Saccharomyces cerevisiae S288C: one gene and its partners. The gene in region 1 interacts genetically with each later gene. Each region holds a gene or a part of one and is shown in the gene's direction. Other genes may lie near its edges. The genes, in order: RQT4, PAL1, YIR016W and YHR210C.

Region 1 (6,094 bases):
TATGGAATACACTTGTAATAGTAATGGAAATCACGAGAAGGCTCGTAGATTAGAGCCAACTAAAAAGTTTCTGTTGGCTGAACATAACGGTCCTAAACTGCCTCATATACCAGCTGGTTCGAATCCTTTGAAGGCTAAAAATAGAGGGAACATCCTCTTGGATGAAAAATCCGGCGATCTAGTTAACAAAGATTTTCAGTTCGAGGTGTTTGTCCCAAGCAAGTTTACAAACAGTATACGGTTACACCCTGATACAAATTATGATAAAATCAAAGCCCACCATTGGATAAAAATTTGCCTTCGTCTTTCCAAGAAGTACGGGGACAATAGAAAACATTTCGAAATAAGTATTGATTCTCCAATCCATATTTTAAATCAACTATGCTCACACGCGAATACTTTGCTACCGAGCTACGAGAGTCATTTCCAGTATTGTGATGAAGATGGTAATTTCGCACCAGCAGCAGATCAACAAAATTACGCAAGTCATCATGATTCCAATATTTTCTTCCCAAAAGAAGTTCTTTCGTCTCCCGTTCTTTCACCTAACGTGCAGAAGATGAACATTAGAATACCGTCTGATCTTCCAGTAGTGCGTAATAGAGCTGAAAGCGTAAAGAAAAGCAAGTCAGATAATACCTCCAAGAAGAATGATCAAAGTAGCAATGTCTTCGCATCCAAACAGCTGGTCGCAAACATTTATAAGCCCAATCAGATTCCAAGAGAATTAACTTCTCCTCAGGCGTTACCATTATCGCCCATCACCTCACCAATTCTCAATTACCAACCATTATCAAACTCCCCGCCTCCAGATTTTGATTTTGATCTAGCTAAGCGCGGCGCAGCCGATTCTCATGCTATTCCTGTGGATCCTCCATCATATTTTGATGTATTAAAGGCCGATGGGATTGAATTGCCATACTACGATACAAGTTCATCTAAAATTCCTGAACTAAAACTAAACAAATCTAGAGAGACATTGGCCAGCATTGAGGAGGACTCATTCAATGGTTGGTCTCAAATTGATGACTTATCCGACGAAGATGACAATGATGGCGATATAGCATCTGGTTTCAACTTCAAGCTGTCAACCAGTGCTCCGAGTGAGAACGTTAATTCACACACTCCTATTTTGCAGTCTTTAAACATGAGTCTTGATGGGAGAAAAAAAAATCGTGCCAGTCTACACGCAACATCAGTGTTACCTAGTACAATAAGACAGAACAATCAGCATTTCAATGACATAAACCAGATGCTAGGCAGTAGTGACGAAGATGCCTTTCCCAAAAGCCAATCATTAAATTTCAATAAGAAACTACCAATACTTAAAATTAATGATAACGTCATACAATCAAACAGCAATAGTAATAACAGAGTTGATAATCCAGAAGATACAGTGGATTCTTCAGTCGATATTACAGCATTTTATGATCCAAGAATGTCATCAGATTCCAAATTTGATTGGGAGGTAAGCAAGAACCATGTTGACCCAGCAGCCTACTCGGTTAACGTTGCTAGTGAAAACCGTGTACTGGACGACTTTAAGAAAGCATTTCGCGAAAAGAGAAAATAAGTACATTATTTTCATTCTCCGACAGAATTGCTACCATTTTACTTTGTGTCCTGTGATTCAATAGTGTACAATATATTGGACATTTTATAGTATACAAATATACACCATCAATCTATACATCCATATCACTTGTCGTAAAGATATCCCTTTTTAATAGTACAGCGATTAAAAAAATAACATGATTAACGTTCAGTTACCAATGAGCTTATTTATTAGGCTTGCTTTAGATTTTTCCAAGTCAATTTTTGTTTTTTCTAACGCTTGCAACCTCATCTCAACCTTCTTCCTTTGCAAGCAGATCTTCGAAACCATCTCGTTTATTCTCTCAATGCTGTTCCCACTTTCATCATCGTCTGGGAAAAGTACCGGTAAGGGCGTGATGATTTTCTCATTCGATTTGTTTATATTTCCTTTGCTTAAAAGCTGGGTTTCCCATTCTTCATTAGTTCTGTAGGGCACTTCATTTATGGCCTTCTCTATAATCTTTCTTTTAGAATCCTTTTGAATAGCAATTTGATTATCCGTGAGGGCTAGCATTTCGTCTTGAAAGCCTTGCATTTCATCGTCACTGAAGTTCGTAATCTCCTTTTCATTGTTACGTTTCAGACCACCATTTAATCTTATTGTCTCCATAATTTCGCGTTTATCCTCACTGTCCAACAATTTTACATAATCTCTTTCTGTTGTAACATCACTCTCACTAATTTTCCTTCTAGATAATGACTTCTGTGCTTTCAGTTTTGCAATTTCTCCTCGGGTTGGTATACTACTAATGTGCTCACCTTCGGAGCTACTGCCAGCCTCTGAAGAATCACTTAATAGATGATGATTCCCCTCCATCAAGTCCTCCATATTGAGAATTAGCAAATCATCTTTGTTTCGCGTCGATGCATTGGTATTTTTCTTTGAATGGTAAAGATCTTCATAATGCGAATTATCCTCCTTTATTGCTTGTTCGCCATCAAAGGTAATGTCGCGCTTAGGAACTTTTTTAAACTTTATTGGTTGTAATACACAAATGTCGTTGTCATCATCTTCAGAATCGTTCGACACTAGGGGCTTAATTTGCTGCATTGGCTTATGCGCAGAACCATCAATTCCAACCTCCTCAGGAGAACCACTTGGTAACCTAATTTTATTTCTTTTCTTGATCGCCATAATGTGTTCAAATGCTATAACATTGCTAGGCAGAACTTGACGTAACTCGACCAGTTATATTGCTTCTTCAAAGCACAAATTTATGATGATTGCTTTCAGTTATGAGGTTCATTTCGATATTCTTTATGATCTTCGCTTGCCGGGTATCGGACAAATATTGAAATATTATACAGCAAGAAAGAGGCATAAAGAGCCTGGCAGCAGCAAATAATGGCAAAGTGAACGTAGTCCGAGAAACAGTGGCTTAATTATTTAACCTTGGGTTTGCAGTAATTAATAATGACAAGAAAGCAGGCTATTGACTATGCAATCAAACAAGTTCCGCAAATATTGCCTTTGGAAGAGTCTGATGTAAAAGCGCTGTGCGAACAAGTACTGAGTACATCATCTGATGATCCAGAACAAATTGCTTCAAAATTTTTGGAGTTCCTAGGTCATGAAGATCTATCGTTTGAATTTGTAATGAAGTTCAATGAATTATTGAATCAGAATGATAAAAAAGAGGAAAAAAAAACGAAAAATGTGCATCTTGAACATACTGCCCCCACTTCATGGAAAAATGAATCAAAACAGCCCACTAATAACTATATCAATAAGAAGGGAGATGAAAAACCAAAAAAATTAAAGGATGAGAAGAAAAGCTCGACAACGAGGCCTACCGTTCAACCATCAAATCAATCTACGCAATCAAACCCCATAAAGGAGAAAAAAGAGCACAGATCAAAGGGGAAATTACAATCGTTACAAGAAATAGACGAAGCAATCAAGATGCTAGAGCTTCGAGATAGCGGTTCTTCTAAAAATTGTAATTGTCAAGGTACAAGGCATCCAGTTTTCGACATCGCGCCAAACTGTCTTCACTGTGGTAAAGTGGTTTGTGTTATAGAGGGATTGAATAAAGGTAAATGCGGTCATTGCCATGAACAGTTGATTTCTGATAACGAAAGAACCCAAATGGTAGAAATTTTAAATCAGGAAAAAAACGAACTAAACGGTTCATCATCGTCCTTATCCAATGCGTCAAATGGAGCTAATGTCCCAAAGAAGAAGACTAAAACCTACAAAATAACTTCCGGTATGGGTAAAAATTTATTTGCTGAACAGGACAAATTATTTGATTTCATCGAAAGGAAAAGAGAAAGAGAAAGAAAGCGTAATGAAGTGTTGAAATTGCAGGAGGAAAAAGAAGAGAGCGAAGCAAAGGAAAGACAAGCGAGCGAGCATGACCATAAAGCTGAGGAAAACCCGGAGTTGTTAGCAGCACAAGAACGATTAGATAGACTTTTATATTTCCAAGACACTTCGGCAGAAAGAACAAAAATTATTGATAATGCCAGCGATTTTGACATGAATCAGGAGGTGGGTTTATGGGGCAGCGCAAGAGAAAGAGCTCTTGCGTTGAAGAAGCAACAACGTAATTTGAGAAAGTGGGAAAAAGTAGAAAAGGAACGGAATGGCAGGCGCGAGAAGTACGTTGTTAGCATGAATATAGGTTCAAACGGTAAAGTTACTATGACAGAAGTCCCTAAGGATACAGAGAACGTAATTGCAGGTTCAGATGATGACATCAGTGATATAAGTGACGAAGAAGATATCAGCGACCTTAAACATATACACGCTCTGAAAAGTGAAATAAATACAACGAAATCCTTGGAGAATTTGCATTTACAGTCCAAAGCATGGGATTACGAACGTGATAAAAAACAATTCGATAGGCCTACGTATGTGAAAAAAAATTCAGATACTGCACAACAGAATAGAAAAACGGAAGAAAAGGCTCACGACATGCAAGCTTATGATTTAAAGTCAAGAGTACAAGTGGACCAAAATGCAGACGCATCAGTAGAACAGAATATTCTTGCTGTACTTTGATGAATGGTAAAAGTTTATATTATATATGATAGAGGATATAACCGTTATTCATTTTCTGTAGATTTTATCATTTTCTTTGTCTTCATAGTATACAATTTTTTTTTATATGAATTAATGCTTGTTCTTGTCTATTTAGTAGTTAAACTCACTTGCTATTTGCTTCTCTGCCATACGAGCCATACGAAACATTTTATTTTTAGAGTTTTCCTTAGTTGGCTTCTTTTCACTATTACCATCCTTACTACTTTGCAATCCCATAGCCTTTGGCCTTTCACGTAACCCAAAACTTTTAGCTAAATGGCCTAGATGTAAGAACTTCACGTTGAAAAACTTCTTTTCTTGAGAGATATGCGTTGCGTAAGCCCTCACATGACTAATGAAACCTTTAACGGCCAAATTTTTGAATGCGGAATCTCCCACTACTCGTCTTTCTATATTCAAATGCCATGTCGTAGCATTGGTATCCCACTCATATTCTTTATCGCCCACGTCTTTATTTTTGGACGATTTCTCATCTTTTCTAATGAATTTATCATTTCTGTTGACATTCACATCTTTGAAAGCCGGCATTAGTATTTCTTTATCGAATTTCAGTAATTCCCAACCCATCGGATGATACGGCTGGATATAGTCCATATATTTTTCTTCTTCGCCAGGAAGTAAAAATAACAAACTTTCACCCTTCTCACCGGCCCTTGCTGTACGACCAACTCTATGTAAATGGTCTTCAACAGCAAATGGTGGATCCAACTCAATAACAGATCCAACGTGGGGAAGGTCTAGGCCTCTACTTGCGACATCTGTACAGAACATAATAAGATGTTTTCCCTTGGTGGCTTCATTATCACGAGCAAAATGCTGCAATGTAGAGGTTCTCATTTGTTGGGATAAAGAACCGTGCAATTTATAAATCACTACATCTGGGTCCCTAGAATCTGAAAAACAAGGAAACATAGTGTTTCCTTTTGTCAATAGTCTTACAGAATCACCCGTTAGATTTTTATGGTGCCCGTCACTTCCTGAAAATGCGTCATAATGAAACTCCACGCTGTCTGAACATGATACGAATACGATTGTACGCAGCGTTTTGGACTGTTGACCGGAAGCGATGAAATCTTTGGTAATGTTGTTCAAAGTAGCAGCTAATGTTACAAGACGCAACTTTGGTGGGACAATAGTAATCCTCTGCAATAGTTGATCGGGCGCAACCGTTACTATATCAGAATCTTTCTTGGTACCGTTGCTAATCAATTTGTAATCTTTCAACGCCACGTTTCTTAACCTATTAACACCATCAGTAAGTGTAGCACTACATAACATGTGCACTAACTTATGCGGTAGCTTGGGAAATTTTTCGGAGTTGATGGGAATATCGTGAACAATTTTAATAATTTCACTGATCGTCTCATCAAAACCCAATTCCATTAACTTATCTCCTTCATCCAATACGATATACCTTAGAGATTGACTCAATTGCTCCTTGATAACTTT
Region 2 (5,634 bases), on another chromosome or scaffold:
ACATTATCAATCCTTGCACTTCAGCTTCCTCTAACTTCGATGACAGCTTCTCATAACTTATGTCATCATCTTAACACCGTATATGATAATATATTGATAGTACAACTATTAGTTGATAGACGATAGTGGATTCTTATTCCAACAGTTTAGATCCAAGGTTCCGCGCTTCCACCATTTAGTATGATCCATATTTTATATAATATATAGGATAAGTAACATTCCGTGAATTAATCTGATAAACCGTTTTGACAACTGGTTACTTCCCTAAGACTGTTTATATTAGGATTGTCGAGACACTCCGGTATTACTTGAGCCCGTAGTACAGCGCAGGCCTCCAGAGTTGAATTATTCTAAATTCCTGAATAATAACAATTTTGCAGACAAAATTCAGGCAATAACTCAAAAGAGTAATCTTTCACTGCATTTAAGGCGCTAAGATTCCCGCCAAAAGTAGTCGTCACAAAAGAACGTATATAAAATGCACTTTCGAGCGGTGACAATGTGAGAAATAGGTAAATATTGAGACAATTGTTGGGATTACCCTGTTTCTCATCTTTTATGTCATCTTTTTACACCGTATATGATAATATGCTAGTCGATAGATGGTGGTCGATTCTTCTTCCTGTATACAAATATATGAGTTGGGGATGTATATTGCAAAGAGCTTGATTATGACACATTGCCAGACCAAAAAACAAATCTCTTTCTATAATGTTCCCAGGTGGGCTAATTTTTTAAATAACGACGGCAGTATATTGATATTGGAGAGAGTTGTATTTATTGTTCGATATTTATTTTGATATCAGCTTTATATTGTAAGTGTTCAATATTTTAATTAGTGTGTATTTTGTAACTTTACTGCCAATTATCAACATAATTACAAAATTGTTATAAAAATTGATGCACTAGTGTTTCGGTTCTTGCTCTTTTAACCAACCGAGCCTAAAAAAGAGGCTCTTGAAAGTAATTTAACCCAAACAATGAGATCTTCATTCTTTTTTTTTTTACCTCAGCTATGACTTGCAGTGCTTTGTATCATACCGCTCGTTTGGTCGTGCTATTTGCAACAATGAACCTCGTTACCCCGAACAAAAAAAAATGAGATATTGAACGCCGCAGCTCATCATGGTAGAATGATGCAGCTAATACCAAAATAAGTTATATTTAGAATGTTGGACATATCAGTTGCATTAGACTAATCGTTCTAGAAGGATACAGAACTTGGAAAGATCTTTGAACGTATCGTAACTGCGTGCTTGCTTTATTTGCCGTTGATTTTTGCTATGACATGCCTAATTTTATGGTATCTGTGGCTCATATCAACTTTTCAGTTAGAGTTTGCAACGGCTAGTACTGCAAATACAACAACTACAGCAAAGTCTGGAACCTCTTCGTCAACGGAGGAGCCGTTTCCTGTACTAGCCGTGGGTAAAGATGGTAGAGGAAACTACTATGTTAATAGCACATTTGGCACTCCCGGTCAACGCCAACGTTTGCTAGTGGATATTATCCAACCGTACATAAATCTGGTTTCCGGAACAAGCGAAAGTCATAACGAATACTCCGGTGTATATCATAAGCATCCCAGCTACCTCATGAATGACTCTACATCATCTGTTCCTGTTTCTCCTGGCCAAATATATGAGATTTCTTTCATTGATGGTAGAGCTGTTAACTGTACTTTGGTGACAGACGATATGAATTTTACAAATGTTTCCTCAGAAAATTCCTCGACCGCTTTGATAACCGATTTAATGGTAACTCGAGATAACGTACAATTTAACTCGGGGAGCCTATCCATTTCAAACGTTTCCTTCTTTGATATTCAGTCCTCGAACTTTAAGACTTCAGGCTTGTTAGGTTTAAGCGGGAAGGTCACAAACCCAGGCAATGCTATCGATAGCTCACAATACACAGAACAGTCTTATTTTCTATCCTTATTGAAAGATGCAGATATCATTGAAAGTTCGTCATATTCACTGTGGTTGGCTGGAGACACTTCCACGTACAAAACATATAGAGATCCAATATCTAATTGTGGGAAGCTACTTCTTGGAGGGGTGGATCCTTCGCTGTTTACCGGTACACTGGGAAAATTTGACTTAATTCCTTACGTTGACCCAGTGAGTAATGCTGTTAGTGTTGGGTACCCAATTGTGCCATTAGGCCCTATTTATATTGTGTCTAACAGCGGACAAAGTTTGAATATGACTTCGAAGGACTTTCTGAGCCCAGCCTTACTTGATTCAACTTCTTCGGTCAGTTACCTGCCAACTAGTACCATTATTCAGATTGCCGTTCAAATTGCGGCCACTTATGTGGAATCACTAGATAGGTGGCTAGTCCAATGTTCTATAGCAGATATGGGTGTCTCCTTGGGTTTCAGGCTTCGAGAATTGACAATTGAAATACCCCTACGTGATTTATTATCATCTACTTACGATACATCCACCAATTCTTCAATGTTTTTCAGTTCTGGACAGGAAGCTTGTTTTCTAACACTATACGCTAATACAAATACTGGAGTAAACATACTCGGAGAAGCCTTCATAAAAAATATATATATGGCAATGGACTTAGAGGATAACACTATAGCCATTGCACAGGCAAAGAAGGTTGAAGATGACGCAGTTACTGAAGAGACAAATGAAACTACCGCGTCCACTATCATCAAGAAGATCAAATCTGGTTACATTCCTTACGCAAAAGTGATGAATAGTAGTAATACAAGAAACTTGACTCTTTATCCATCCTATAGGTCAGGCTATATGTTCACTGTCCCAGGTCAACTGACAGCAGCATACTCAAACGGTGTGATTACAGGTGCGGGCCGGTCATTCTATGATACTTCAAGAGCAAGCACAAGTGCTAGACCATCCAGTACTCAATTCGACAGCTTTTCTGTGTCAGCCTCAGAAGAGTGGTCAAATTCAACTAATAGAACCAGCAGTGCTTCGGGAGCAGGCGTTCGATTGAGCAGTCCTTATACATTTAACAAAGATCCAGCTGGACATGTAACTCGTATAGCTTCCTTGCTACTACTTTCGATATTCTCGATACTTATTGTTCTTTGAATGGTTTTAACAAAAGTTCATAACATAAAACCTTTTTCTCCTTGACCAATGCACGTATAACATCATTATATAGCAGATTTAATAACAACATACTTAAAAGTATATATGCGTCATTCTTATCCAGTTGTGTAGAAGCTAGTACTTGTGATCAACCATTGGCAGCCATCTCAAAGAATCGTCGTGCACGGAGCGTAAATCGCGTTACTTTTTTTTTTGTTTTTTTTCCCGCCTCGAGGTTGGTTCAACAGCAGATCATGGTGACTGGCGATAGGTTATTCACTAGAAAATGAAGATACTCTTTCTTGGGAGGTAACTCTGTAAAATTTCTAATTTGTATTTTATAGTGTGTAGAATCCGAAATATATCCGATCTACCTCGCTCTTTTTATTGTTATTTTTATTCGAGGAATTTAAGTGTTTTGCAGACCTATCCCTTCGAACACGTAACGTCATTTTACCATAATCTTCGACTGCTTAATTGTTGATACATTGTAGGTTCCATTACACTTTGCCAGCATTTTCCATTTTTAGAAAAATTGATACATATACGCAAGATTTAGCATGGAGAATAGAAACAGTAGTACCTCTAGTAGGCCATTTTCTGTTAATAACCCGTTTAGAAATGCCACAGTTGATTCAAGTATTAATCAGTATAAAAATGACTCCCAGTTTCAGGAGTGGGCGAAAAACCAATCTCGTACCAATTCATTTGATATGCCACAATTGAACACAAGAACTTCTTCACAATTATCATTCCCAAACATTCCAGAGGATGAACCCCAGCGAAACGCAGATCAGCAGGGTGCTTTTTATTCTGGTTTGGAGAGCTTTAGTAGTGGTAGTTTATCACCACCTTCGAGACCTCTTTCCTCAAAGAATCCTTTCCTAGACGATGTGAGTTCTGCAACCGATTTTAGAAGGTCTCCCCCACCTGTTTCAAGGAATAAAAATCATCCCACTGCTAAAGAAGAAAAAGAACAATTAAGGCAAAGATATTTGGAGGAAAGTGACGTAAGTACAGTAGGTAACACAAGAGAAAACACTGACCTACCACCCTCATACGAAGAGATCACTTCAACCAATGGATCAAGGCGTGCATATCCAAAGGAAAAGGTTTCTCGTCCTTCTTCTCACCGCGAACATAGCAACAGCGGCACATATATTTCACGCAGATCTTCATCCCACCATCACCGTGAAGCTTCCTCATCTTCAACGCCTTCTAAGAAGGGAAAGAGAAAAAGTAAGGTTATTGTTCCTAAGAACGTCGATACTATCGATAAGTTAGATGTAACTGGATTGTTCGGTGGCTCATTTCATCATGACGGCCCATTCGATGCAGTAACACCTCATAGAAATAAAAATAACAAAGCTGCGCCTGTTTTAGCATTTCCGGTCGATGGTCCAAACAGTACCATCGGTGGCGCTTCAACCAAGAAGTCTGCCCTGGATGAGGTTTTTGGGAGAGATGATACAGATGATTCTGATATATACCAGTACAGTTCGCAGACTCTAAGGAGAGGTGGTGATACGCAGGACGCAATAAAAGCAAACGTGGGTAACGTCCAACAAATGGATGCCAAAAATAAGACAGAATTGGTTCATGGGCCAGTTACTGCGGGATTAGGTTCTAGTACGTTTTTAGATGGGGCGCCGGCCTCCTCAGCTGCCATTAGAAACGACATAAAAGCCCATTCCTATCATAATCGTAACGGTGGTTTACAAAGAAATAAGTCACTTTCTCAACGATTAGGTCTCGGAGGATCCGGTGATAGCAATGCCCCCATGACAGGCGTTAGAAGAAACTTGAGTTTAAGTAGAGACAACTATGATGTTGGTCACAGCAATGAAGGTGTTAGAAGGTCGAAAACCGTTAATTCTCCTAACAGAACGCATAAGTCCAATTATACTACTGATTTCGACGGCCAAGATGATCACAATGAAGATGAGGAAGACGTTTATTTGGGTGTGCGCTACAATGAGCCCAATATGAAAAAGAAATCGACGGGCAGCAAATTACTGAGCAGAGTAAAAAGTCTAAAGGTCGGCAGGAAAAGTCAGTAAAGTGAGCTTAAAAGAGAGAAAAGAAGCTATGAGACACCAAAGCCAGGCAAATAAAAGGGAGAGATACGAATAAAAATAATTTAAGACCACGTTATATACACATTACGAATAGTTTGACTTTATATATTTACAGAGACTACCAACTTATATCAAAAGGAAAAAATTCCCATTACCAGTTTCATTCATAACGTGTTGAATGCTTGGATCTTAGTACGTTGAGGTAACCTTGACTCTACAATTTTCCATTCTATAGAGTCCCATACCCTTTCTAAATATTCTCGTTTCCCAAATACGCCATAATCAGTTAACCATGTTTTTGGTGACGCATCAATGGCTAAAAGCGGGATATATGAAACCTCTTTCCCAGAAAAACCTTTCTGTTGGGTTTCATAAATAAATTTTGTCTTGGCTTGCTTGGCAGTCATCTCAGAATCTTCAAGATTACCGGCTTCTTTGGCTCGTTGTTTTTCCATGTTGGTATATTGGTTATTGAGCTCATT
Region 3 (5,370 bases), on another chromosome or scaffold:
AACACTTTTCAGGTTTGAAAAGAAAAGAAAACGTCAAGAATCTTACGCCAAAAGTGCCTAAGATTCAAGTATCTCTGAAAGGCGTACCATTTTCAACAAGGGGCATAGGTGGCCGCAAACTAGGATAATTGACAACTTAGTTTCATATTGACAATGTCATCGCAATTGAGGAGATAGCCATAATTCGGGAGGGTACAAAACCTGACCTGCTAGTGTTCAACTAATGCATCATGGGTACTATAGAGAGCATTCTAGTGGTAGAAAAAAAAAAAAAAACAAACTTTAAACCGGGTAATATAAACTTCTCATATGGCTTTTCTCCAGGGAAAGAAAGGGAAGGGATACTTCAATGACGAAGGCTTAGATGACAAGCTAATACAGAAAGGGAAAGGAGCAGGGCATCGGAAGGAAATGTTGCATTTGGAAGATGACAATGGACGACAAAGGTCAGTGATAGCGAATTTGCAGAAATTCGTTTATTGCTGCCTGTACTTGAGGTTTATCAAAGATGGATCATTATTCTTGATCCTCCTGGGGTGGATAATTTCATCGCTCTGTGATTTCATTCAGGAATTGACACTCAGGTACCTGAAGAAGAACTATTTAGAGGTGGGCCGCGACAATGATCAGGAAGATGATGAAAGTCTTGCCATCAGAGGGTTAGAAACACCTATTGTAAGAATGATAATAAACAAAGCCATACGATATTACCAAGGCCTAATACTTCTAGAAACAGCGTACTGTATAGTATACCACATTAGGCTAGACGTATCGAGAGACATATGTTCCAAACCGTACGGATTTGTGATAATGCTTTTGATAAGGGAATTTACTTGTCCGGTACCCACAGCGTTTCCTAGCAAGCTACTTCTGGTACTACTCGATATTTTATTACTTTTCTGCCAGATTGTAATAATAAACGGCTCACTGAGCTCGAGTCTTCAGAACGTGAAACTTATTGTCAAGGAGTTGAATGCAGAAGAAGAGGGCGCACTCAACATTCTCAAACTTAATACCTGGCACATGGATGCAACCGGACCGGAACTCATAGTACTCAAGAATCATGACAAGTCGATTCCTCAACAGGCAGACGGGGATGACGCTACAGAGATCACTCCTCTACTGAATATCGCCGAATAAATTCAAGAAAGGAAAAGAAAAAAAATTACCAAAATGAAAAGAACGGAAAAAAAAGATGAACAGAAAATAAAACAATACGTGGTTCTTCTACTGTCCTTCCCACATCGCCGACAGAGAAAAGACAAGCAAAAAGATGGGCAAGAAAGCACACGGAGGAAAGATGAAACCTGAGATCGACGAAAATGGTACTCTGCTAGTACCGCCACCAAGGACGATTGCGAACCAGGACCATTTCCATAGATTAAACTACCTCTACCAAATATCCGCTTACCAAACAAGAGCAAGACAGAAAGCAAGAACAGACGCACATACGCCTTTGGCACGCAATTATATCAAATCAATGGACCTAATTAGTAAGAAAACCAAGACATCACTGCTTCCTACGATAAAGAGAACAATTTGTAAAAAATGCCATCGGTTGTTATGGACCCCAAAAAAACTGGAAATCACATCCGACGGAGCGCTTTCGGTAATGTGTGGGTGCGGTACCGTTAAACGTTTTAATATTGGCGCCGATCCTAATTACAGGACCTACTCGGAGCGGGAGGGTAATCTACTAAATTCTTAGGGTTATTGGTAGGGTTTTGGACCAATGTTTTGAGCAGGACAAAAATGCGGAGTTTCCAGATTTTCTTTAAGAGCCGACCCCCCACCCCCTTGCCCCTATACATGGGGTACGTGCCTGTATTTTGAGGGAAAACTACGACATAAAACACAGGGAAAAAAACGAGACGCCCGTTTGAAGAAGGTAATGTAGGATTCCGTCTTGCCAGCATAGCGGATAAACACCGCAAGGAGGTGTTGTGGTCGGTAATGAGTGGCACGAGGTGTTTGCTAGGCGTCGGACTACCAGTTGATGTGACTGCTACGGAAACTTTGACTCATGATGAACAAGGACCAGGTGTAGAGCCAGGACCGTGTTCGCGAGGAAGTTCTATAGATGGTCTGCTGCCCTCGTTGCTCGGTCCACATGATGATGTGGATGACGATTCGGCGGCTTTTCACAAGTACATGACACTATCGCGAGATGGCGCAGGCGCCATCCATGCTCCGTCATTAGTCGAAGACGCCTCAAGGAACGACGACGACGACGATGATGAAGACGACGACGACAGTTCCATGTCGCGAGACCTATCCAAGGCTCTAGATATGTCATCGTCATCATCGTCCAGCCCGCGCGTTCAAAGTCGGCGGCACCGTAGTTCTGTGAGCGCAATATCTGCAATCTTACACCAAGGAAAATCTGGCCGCGAAGACATAACTGGAAGCCTTAGCGTTCCGGCAGAACAAGAAAAACTCAGTTTTCTTGCCAAAGCCTCGAGTATTTTCTTTCGAAGGAACAGTATGCCCAGAGACAAACATACGCATTCAGTATGTCCCGCTAGCCGCCCAGATTCCGAGAGATTTATCGTCACATCTGCAGCCGCGCAGTCTTTACGCCGCCAACAACAACTGGAAGACGCTCAGTACGCTCGAGTTATTACAAACTTTCGTACTATAGGATGGTGCTCTCCCAGCGAGATAGAGTCTGTGGAATATAAACGGTCCTTGATCAATGCGGAGTGGGACGAAAAGATCTCGCTTTTGTCTCACGCGCAATGCTATAAATAATAAATATACATATATATATATTTATATGTAGATAGATGTGTGTATATATATGCTAGGTAAAGAAACGGAAAAATCGAAAAATCGAAGTTGGAGAGGAAAAACAAGACATCAGGCCCGCACGTTTCGCGGGCTACCTGCCCATGTTCCGTCTCTTAATGTCATTCAACAATTTCAAAGACTTAATCTCGTTAATGTCATTGAGCTTTGCTTTCCAAAACTCATTTTCCTTGTTCAATTGCTCTATACGATCGCGAAGTTTGTTGATTTGCGTGTTTAAGTTCTGCAGCTTATTCATGTTCTCAAAATTCTTTTGTTTCTTGCGAATGCGGAACCGCTGCGACGCCTCTGTGTTCTTTCTTCTCCGCTCTTGCTTAATCTTATCCAGTTCGTTAGAAGTGCTCACGGGAGCTTCCTCTTCTTTTACAACAACTGCTGTTGTTGCGGCAACCTTCCCCTTTCTCGGCTCGCGGAGCTTCTTAAACTGCGAGACATCCTGGCCATTATTTATCATGCTAATGAGCTCCTCCGCGTTGCCACTGCTAACCAGCAGCAATGATAGCAAGCGCGAGCCCAGCTCTGAATCGCTTGATATCAGGTTCTGTAGATGTTCCGAAAGATTGTTCACGTTCATACCCTTCCTGCTTGCAATGTCAATGTTTGTTGATTTCTTTTCCCACCCTTGTTTCGCACTCATATTGACGAACAAAACAATTTGTCTTCGTAACTACCACTGGTTATAAATAGTTAAATTCAAGTTACCTCGTGTTCTTAGTCATTGGCTGCCCGGCCTTGACTCACGCCAGTGACCTACAACTATGGCGTTTCCGCTTCCCGCCCAAAACTGTGGTGTTAGAAAGTAGAAAAAGGTGAAAAAAGCGAAACCTAAAACCAAAAAAAAAAAATAAGTCACGTGCACTCAGTACCCCTTCTATTGTATTTTAGTTTACCTATTGGGCCGGGCGGGCCCCACAACTGTGGCATCTTTCAGATCATTTTTTTCCAGAATGCATGGAACTGACGAGTGAACTTTTATTCCACGGAAAAGGACAAAAAGGTGCAGTAATGGAATGGTCTTTTTGCACGGCAGTGATGTCGCTATCATATCAATCACTGAAAGTGAAGTTAACCATATTACAACAAGTTCACACAACATAAACAGTGTAACTAGCATATTATCACAGTCATGGCTCTACCTCTGATAAAACCTAAGGAGTCTGAGGAAAGCCACCTCGCTCTTTTGTCCAAGATCCACGTGTCCAAAAATTGGAAACTGCCTCCAAGGTTGCCCCATAGAGCAGCTCAGCGGAGGAAAAGAGTTCATCGACTTCACGAAGATTACGAAACTGAAGAAAATGATGAGGAGCTACAGAAGAAAAAACGGCAGAATAGAGACGCCCAAAGGGCCTACAGAGAACGCAAAAACAACAAGTTGCAAGTGCTGGAGGAAACCATAGAGTCACTGAGTAAGGTCGTTAAAAACTACGAAACGAAACTAAACCGCCTCCAAAATGAACTTCAAGCGAAAGAATCGGAAAATCATGCCCTTAAACAGAAATTGGAGACCCTTACTCTGAAACAAGCCTCTGTGCCTGCTCAGGACCCTATCCTGCAGAATTTGATCGAGAATTTCAAACCAATGAAGGCGATACCTATTAAGTACAATACCGCTATCAAGCGCCACCAGCACTCGACAGAACTGCCTAGCTCTGTCAAATGCGGCTTTTGTAACGACAACACTACTTGCGTTTGTAAAGAACTGGAAACAGATCACCGTAAAAGTGACGACGGTGTGGCCACAGAACAGAAGGATATGTCGATGCCACATGCAGAGTGCAATAATAAAGATAACCCCAATGGGCTCTGTAGTAATTGTACTAATATCGACAAATCATGTATCGACATCCGGTCCATCATCCACTGAAGAGAGAGAACTTCTTAATACTTATAAATACGTCATTGAACAGCTCAACTTTTGTAACGTCAAAAGAACGCACATGAAAGGAGTGACATTGCTTTTTTCTTTGCAAGTTTATTACTGTGGTTATGTGTAAAGAATTAGTTCATGGACATTGGCCGCAGAGTGCAAAAGCGTTTTGGACACCCCGCCTTTGGTGTTCTCGCCGCCATATTTTGAGACGTTAGTTTCCGACGAATTGAGCTGAAGCGGTGGACATTATCTCAAGGTACCGCTTACTATGCCTATACATTCCTGCAATTTTTTTTTTTTTTTTTTTGATAAGTATTACTGGGTAATGGGAAGTATAATCACTAGGCATATTATTTTTGACGCAGAGGAGTGGCAGCCTGTCTACTATGTAAATGTAATGGTAGAACCGTTATTATAACGTAAAATAGATCGTACATAAGAAAAACTGGACGCAAACCATTTAAATCTAAATGCGAATATGCGTACTGATTATTAACATGATACCATAATTTAGATCTTTCCTTTTGAAAGTCGTGTCAAATTCTAGTATTGGCGGATGAGATCCTAATGTGCTAAACAATAGAGATAATGGGATCCCCGCAAATTTCATTTTTAAATTGCTTTCCTCTTCTGAGTTGAACACGAATTTTTGAGAATCTAGCTGTAGTTAGACGTTACGCAAAAGAAGCTTT
Region 4 (5,432 bases), on another chromosome or scaffold:
TTTCCTGGTATTTTTAGTGGGGATCTATCAATAAAGGCGGCTTGTCAACTTGACACACACAATAAAAGACCTCATTTAATTTTGTTAAAAGAACATTATCTGTTAAACACGCTGTGTTACTGACATTGTTTCATAAGTAATAAAAGATCTGACTATTATCTTATCCATACCAGTGTTCTGTTTGACAAGTAGCTGCAACCGGAAGTTATTCCTTCTCCACTGCAAAGATCGTTTAATTGTCCCATCCTGCGCGATCACGTAACATGCTATGAACGTCGGGAAATTTTTCACTTGTGAAGTCTTAGAATGTGTAATCATGTAACTGAGGTTTCTGACGACTAGTAGCATATTTGAACTCTATTAGGATTAACACGAAGTTCTAATGATTTTTCTTTCTCGGAGTTAAAAGGAAACCCGAACGTTTGTTGCCTCTAGATTTTTTCCATATATTTTCCATATGTTCACTTTTAGCAATCGCCTTTGCTTGTCTGATTTAGTTGAAAACAACAGCATTTGATATTCATGAAAGTCTATTAAAGGAAGAAAGTAAAGAAACTTTCTTCGCCTGTTTTCTTCCTAGAATACTGTTATACCAATAGAAATTGAAGGTTTGGGAGAACTTTTGAGAAACTTTTTTAAATTTCAAGACCTGTGCTTTGAACGTGTCTCATTTCTGCGTACAATGCCAAAGTTGGAAGGTTTTCTTGCGTATGGTTCTAGTTCTTTGCCAAATTATTGATTTCAATCACGCTTTAAAGTTTTTTCTGGGTTTTCTCCACATAGGATAGTGACAAGAAGTGCGGTAGCCATGTGGTTTATTGCAGATCACAGTATGAAGGACCTTCAACTTACCTTATTTACTTATTAACAGGAAATTAAGCGTCATAAAAAACTACAGCGGTGATAGGAGCTGTGAAAGGATCCATATTGCTATCGTGAGTGAAAACGAAGACAACCTGAAAATAAGTATTTTTCCGCCGTTCTTCAACGATGTATTTAGATATCAGTCGATATTAACGTATAGGAGGAGGATCGATTATCGTGAAGATAGAAAATAATGACCGAAGAAGATTCCCTGGTAGCGCACACTTCAAACTAAGGGTTGGTCTCCGGTAAATATCAAGATTTGTACATTTGGCTAAGTGCTGGAACCCATGCAATTGATCTTATTGTGATGATTTGATGATATTCCTCCGTCAGAAAGTCCTAGAACACAACCTCTGGATGAAAACAGAAAAGAAAAATATGCAAGATGTTCAAGTGCGCGCGGAGCAAAAAAAAAAAGGAACAGAATACTAAAAGAATACGTCGCGAATCTCGTTATTGACAAGGCATGTTTGGATGAAAACATGTAATGCCCCATTCAGCTTATTTTTCAACATTTTCAGAGTAACACGCAGAAGAAGACTTTGTTTTTCCAAAACCTCCTTTTGCACTCAAAAAGAATGCCAGTTCAGCATGGCATATTGGAGATTATTTTTCATAAAACTGTAAGAATTGTAAAGCAAAACTGGTGCACTGCTACATCAACTCTTATCTTCTTGCATATAAATTTAAATGAAAAGGAACTACTTTGTAATTATCGATATTACATTGAAACCTATGAGGAAGATTATGACATGATAACACTAAACTATTGCTGGCCAGCACCCGAACCGAGTGTCCAAATTGAGTTTTGAATCAGTTTTCAGCTCAGAACAGATTCCCCTTTTCCTTTATTAGGTCGTATCATCATTCTATGTGCAACTACTGCAGCATTTGCGTATAATTATGGAAATAAAATTATACGAAAGTTGATACTTGGTTGTAAATGGCCTAAGAATCGGAAAAAATGGAATTCTATTGGCATGCTATCTTGTTTAATGAGATTATGAAGTTGAATATCATTTCTGCGTTTTGCATTCAAACAATATCATTTCAAAGGCCTATCGCTGTGAGCAATACGCTGGATTTGCTCATCGCACAGTAAGCCTGCACTACCCCACCAAATTACAAGAATATAGTAGAGATCAGAAGCTTATGAGAAGTCACTTCCAAAATTCGCGTTGTCCAACATCCTTGGAATAATTTTTCCTCCTTATGCATCCAGGTGATTGACACTTTTTGACGGGATAAATGCAGGTGGAGGTGGGGGAGGGGTAAAGTTTCGTAAAGAGTGTCAGGTCGCATATCTTTGCACTGCGCAGAAATTCTCGCAGAAAATTACGCTACGGAGAAATTCTCGGGCACTAATATCGTACAAAAATTAGGTTTGTTACGTGATAATATGGCCTTGTACCTGTTAAGTTTTTCCGACAATTAGTTACTAGCTGAATATCTTAAAAAAAGGTAAAAGTAACTCCTCCATGGTTTGGTTATTCATGCGTAAACACCTTGGATGCTCTGAGATATAAAATCAGAATGTACTACGAAGTACTGGAACTCAATTGTACATTATGTTACTGCAATAAGTAAATTCACCTAAAAAGCCAAAAAGTGATAATGTCAAATAATAAGGCTGGCGGTGAATATGAAGTCATCACTATTGGTGATGCAAAAAAGCTTCAAGCAACAATTTCAGAGCTTGGCGCTACTTTGCTTGACTTGAAAGTGAACAACGAATCGATTGTTCTAGGATACCCTGATATTCATGGCTATATATCAGATGGCTACAACTACATTGGTGCTACTGTTGGCCGTTATGCAAATCGTATTTACAAGGGCATGTTCAGTATGGAAGATGGACCTCATCAGTTGACAGTGAACAATTGTGGAAACACCAACCACAGTAGCATCAGCTCCTTCCATCTCAAGAAGTATAAGGCATCCAAAGTCCAAAATCCTCTTGATGACCTTTACATTGTTGAATTTACGTTATTGGATGACCGCACACTGCCCAATGAATTTCCGGGAGATCTAGCTGTAAACTTAAAGTACACATTGAACGTTGCTGACATGACCTTGGACTTGGAATACGAGGCAAAACTGGTCAGCGGTGAGGCTACTCCCATCAACATGACGAATCACACGTACTTCAATTTAAACAAAACTATGGATAAAAAATCCATTAGCGGTACGGAGGTTAGGCTCTGCTCAGATAAATCATTGGAAGTAAGCGAAGGAGCACTAATTCCAACCGGTAAAATCGTTCAAAGAAAAATTGCTACTTTTGACTCCTCCAAACCTACCATTCTGCAGGATGATGGCCCGATTTATGACTACGCTTTCATTGTTGATGAAAATAAGAATTTGAAAACGACAGACTCAGTAAGTGTAAACAAGCTCGTCCCTGCCTTCAAGGCTTATCATCCGGCATCACGACTTTCATTGGAGGTTTCAACAACAGAACCAACTGTCCTATTTTACACAGGTGACAACTTGTGTGATGGATTTACGCCGAGATCTGGCTTTGCCGTTGAACAAGGCAGATATGTTGACGCAATCAACCGTGATGGATGGAGAGACTGCGTTCTTTTGAGACGTGGTGAGGTATATACTTCTAAGACTCGATATCGTTTTGCGGTGTAGGCACCAAATTTAGTTGTTTACTTTGCACTGTCGCATTATTTTTCTATAAATTGAGCTTTTTATAATGAGATATGATCCGGAAACAGCTTTCTGAAGTGCATATGTTATAGTTAATATTAAGAATTTTTTGAGACTTTATTATGTTACCATGATTGCATTATCTTTTAATGTTAACAGTAACAAGTTTACGTATCGCTTTAAAACATAATTACATTCAGAGGTCGGAATTTAGAGCCAATAAAATTTTTAGAGCATATGTTGACGGTTTTAAATTACTCCCAACTGCGCAACAACACCTTATTTTCTTTTTGCCATATTTTAATATTTATTAGCATTTGGGAAATATTTAAAAAAAGAAAAAAATCAGCTTTTTATATATTTCTTTTAATTTAGTAAACCTCATTCTCTTTTCCTACATAAGTAATAAAACGTTGACCACTCTATTTTTAAAGGTACATTCAAATCTTCACAATGACAGATTTCTTTGAGCTCGTTAATGAATATATCGGCAATATCCGGTTTCGAGGGATTATCTCTAGCCCAAGAAGTGTATATGCTCCAGCTTTTCACAAACTCTTTAAATTGATTGAGAGTAATAGCTGCTCTCCAGAGAAACTGACTGTTTTCAGCCGTTACTGTTGATGCATTTGGGTCCGAAGGACTGTAAATTGTGACTTCAATATCTCCAAATCGATCTGACAATAAAGAACGTAGCTTTTCACCACCGTAATTCAACAAAATTTCCCGTTGGTTGTCGTTCAGATATTTACCCATATAATCCTTGCTCCATCCATATTTGTAATATACATTCAAGGCTTCGGGAAAGTCCACAAATTCCGGCTGAATATAAAACCAGAATGCAAAAGTTCCATCACTTCGTAATATAGAGGAAACCTGCTGAAACAGCCTTTCTAAATTGCACCAATGGATGGCTTCTGCTGAAATAACCATATCTACACTTTCTGGTCGAATGCTGGATAAATCTTCACCAGGCGCATTAATAAATCTAATCTTTTTATCTAATCTACGTTCATTTGTTTCTTTCTCAGCAATCGAAAGCATAGCAGAAGAAGGATCAATCCCAATCACTTCCTTAAAATAGGGTTCAACGACAAAAGTTGCTTTTCCTGTGCCACATCCAATATCAACCAAACTTTTGCGTGTGCCTTTGTGAAATTTCATTATCTCATTGACTAAAGATAAAGGGTAAGAGGGACGTACGTTATTATAGTGAGCAGATTCAAAATTTTTGTTTAAATAACTAGTTTTAGGCATTCTGGATTCTTCCATTGACAGAAGACTGGCTTTGAAGATGTACTGAGTGTAAAAGGGTTAACTTGAATTTGCCCCTTTAGTTCGTGCCGTTTGTTTATGTTTATATACGTTCCCTTGGGGCCGCTAATTAGAATGCTAAATATAGATCGTGGAAAACTTTCACTACAAAGCTTCTCGTTGTTGTGTTGGCTGAACATATACTAATGAACTGTTTAAATCAGGATTATGGACCGGTGAGGGAACATAATCATCTCTTCATGCCTGAACCTGTATGCCACGATGATGGAAGGCATACCATTATTCATACTGTACTTGCACCTCTTCTGAACTACGCTAGAATTTATTCTTCAGAAAATACCAGGGATATCCTTATAGATTTTTTTTTTTTGGCATAATCAACTCTCTTGGGTATCTTGCCGCATTCATTTTACATGTAAAGTCCAGCGAGATACCTTGGCAACTAAATTACAAGCAGTCTCTATGAAATTCAATAATGTGCCAAGTTGTTAGGTCAACAATTTCAAAAAGCGTAAGAAGCCGCACAATGGCTTGCATAAGCTATAATAATAATAGTAATCCAATATTTCTTATAATAAATAAACTCAACAGGAATTGTAAAAAAGTATGTATCTATGTGAATAAAGTGAGAG

What was found.
Region 2: mutations in RQT4 (region 1) and PAL1 together harm fitness more than expected from each alone (negative genetic interaction), as found in Saccharomyces cerevisiae (2 studies listed by BioGRID).
Region 3: mutations in RQT4 (region 1) and YIR016W together harm fitness more than expected from each alone (negative genetic interaction), as found in Saccharomyces cerevisiae (2 studies listed by BioGRID).
Region 4: mutations in RQT4 (region 1) and YHR210C together harm fitness more than expected from each alone (negative genetic interaction), as found in Saccharomyces cerevisiae (2 studies listed by BioGRID).

The regions. Positions count from the first base shown.
Region 1 is NC_001143.9:480,409-486,502, forward strand, and holds RQT4 (Rqt4p), read left to right. Parts: upstream 1-3,010; coding exon 3,011-4,603; downstream 4,604-6,094. Other genes in the region: ALY1 (Aly1p), read left to right, coding at 1-1,573; NTR2 (Ntr2p), read right to left, coding at 1,763-2,731; DBP7 (putative ATP-dependent RNA helicase), read right to left, coding at 4,736-6,094.
Region 2 is NC_001136.10:1,169,826-1,175,459, reverse strand, and holds PAL1 (Pal1p), read left to right. Parts: upstream 1-3,634; coding exon 3,635-5,134; downstream 5,135-5,634. Other genes in the region: YPS7 (putative aspartic endopeptidase), read left to right, coding at 1,284-3,074; mitochondrial 37S ribosomal protein mS43 MRP1, read right to left, coding at 5,317-5,634. UniProt on the Saccharomyces cerevisiae protein: Involved in the early step of endocytosis.
Region 3 is NC_001141.2:380,675-386,044, forward strand, and holds YIR016W (uncharacterized protein), read left to right. Parts: upstream 1-1,953; coding exon 1,954-2,751; downstream 2,752-5,370. Other genes in the region: VLD1 (Vld1p), read left to right, coding at 412-1,140; ribonuclease P protein subunit RPR2, read left to right, coding at 1,274-1,708; MET28 (Met28p), read right to left, coding at 2,882-3,445; YAP5 (Yap5p), read left to right, coding at 3,935-4,672; YIR018C-A (uncharacterized protein), read right to left, coding at 4,890-5,027.
Region 4 is NC_001140.6:518,787-524,218, reverse strand, and holds YHR210C (aldose 1-epimerase superfamily protein), read left to right. Parts: upstream 1-2,481; coding exon 2,482-3,507; downstream 3,508-5,432. Other genes in the region: CRG1 (S-adenosylmethionine-dependent methyltransferase), read right to left, coding at 3,907-4,782.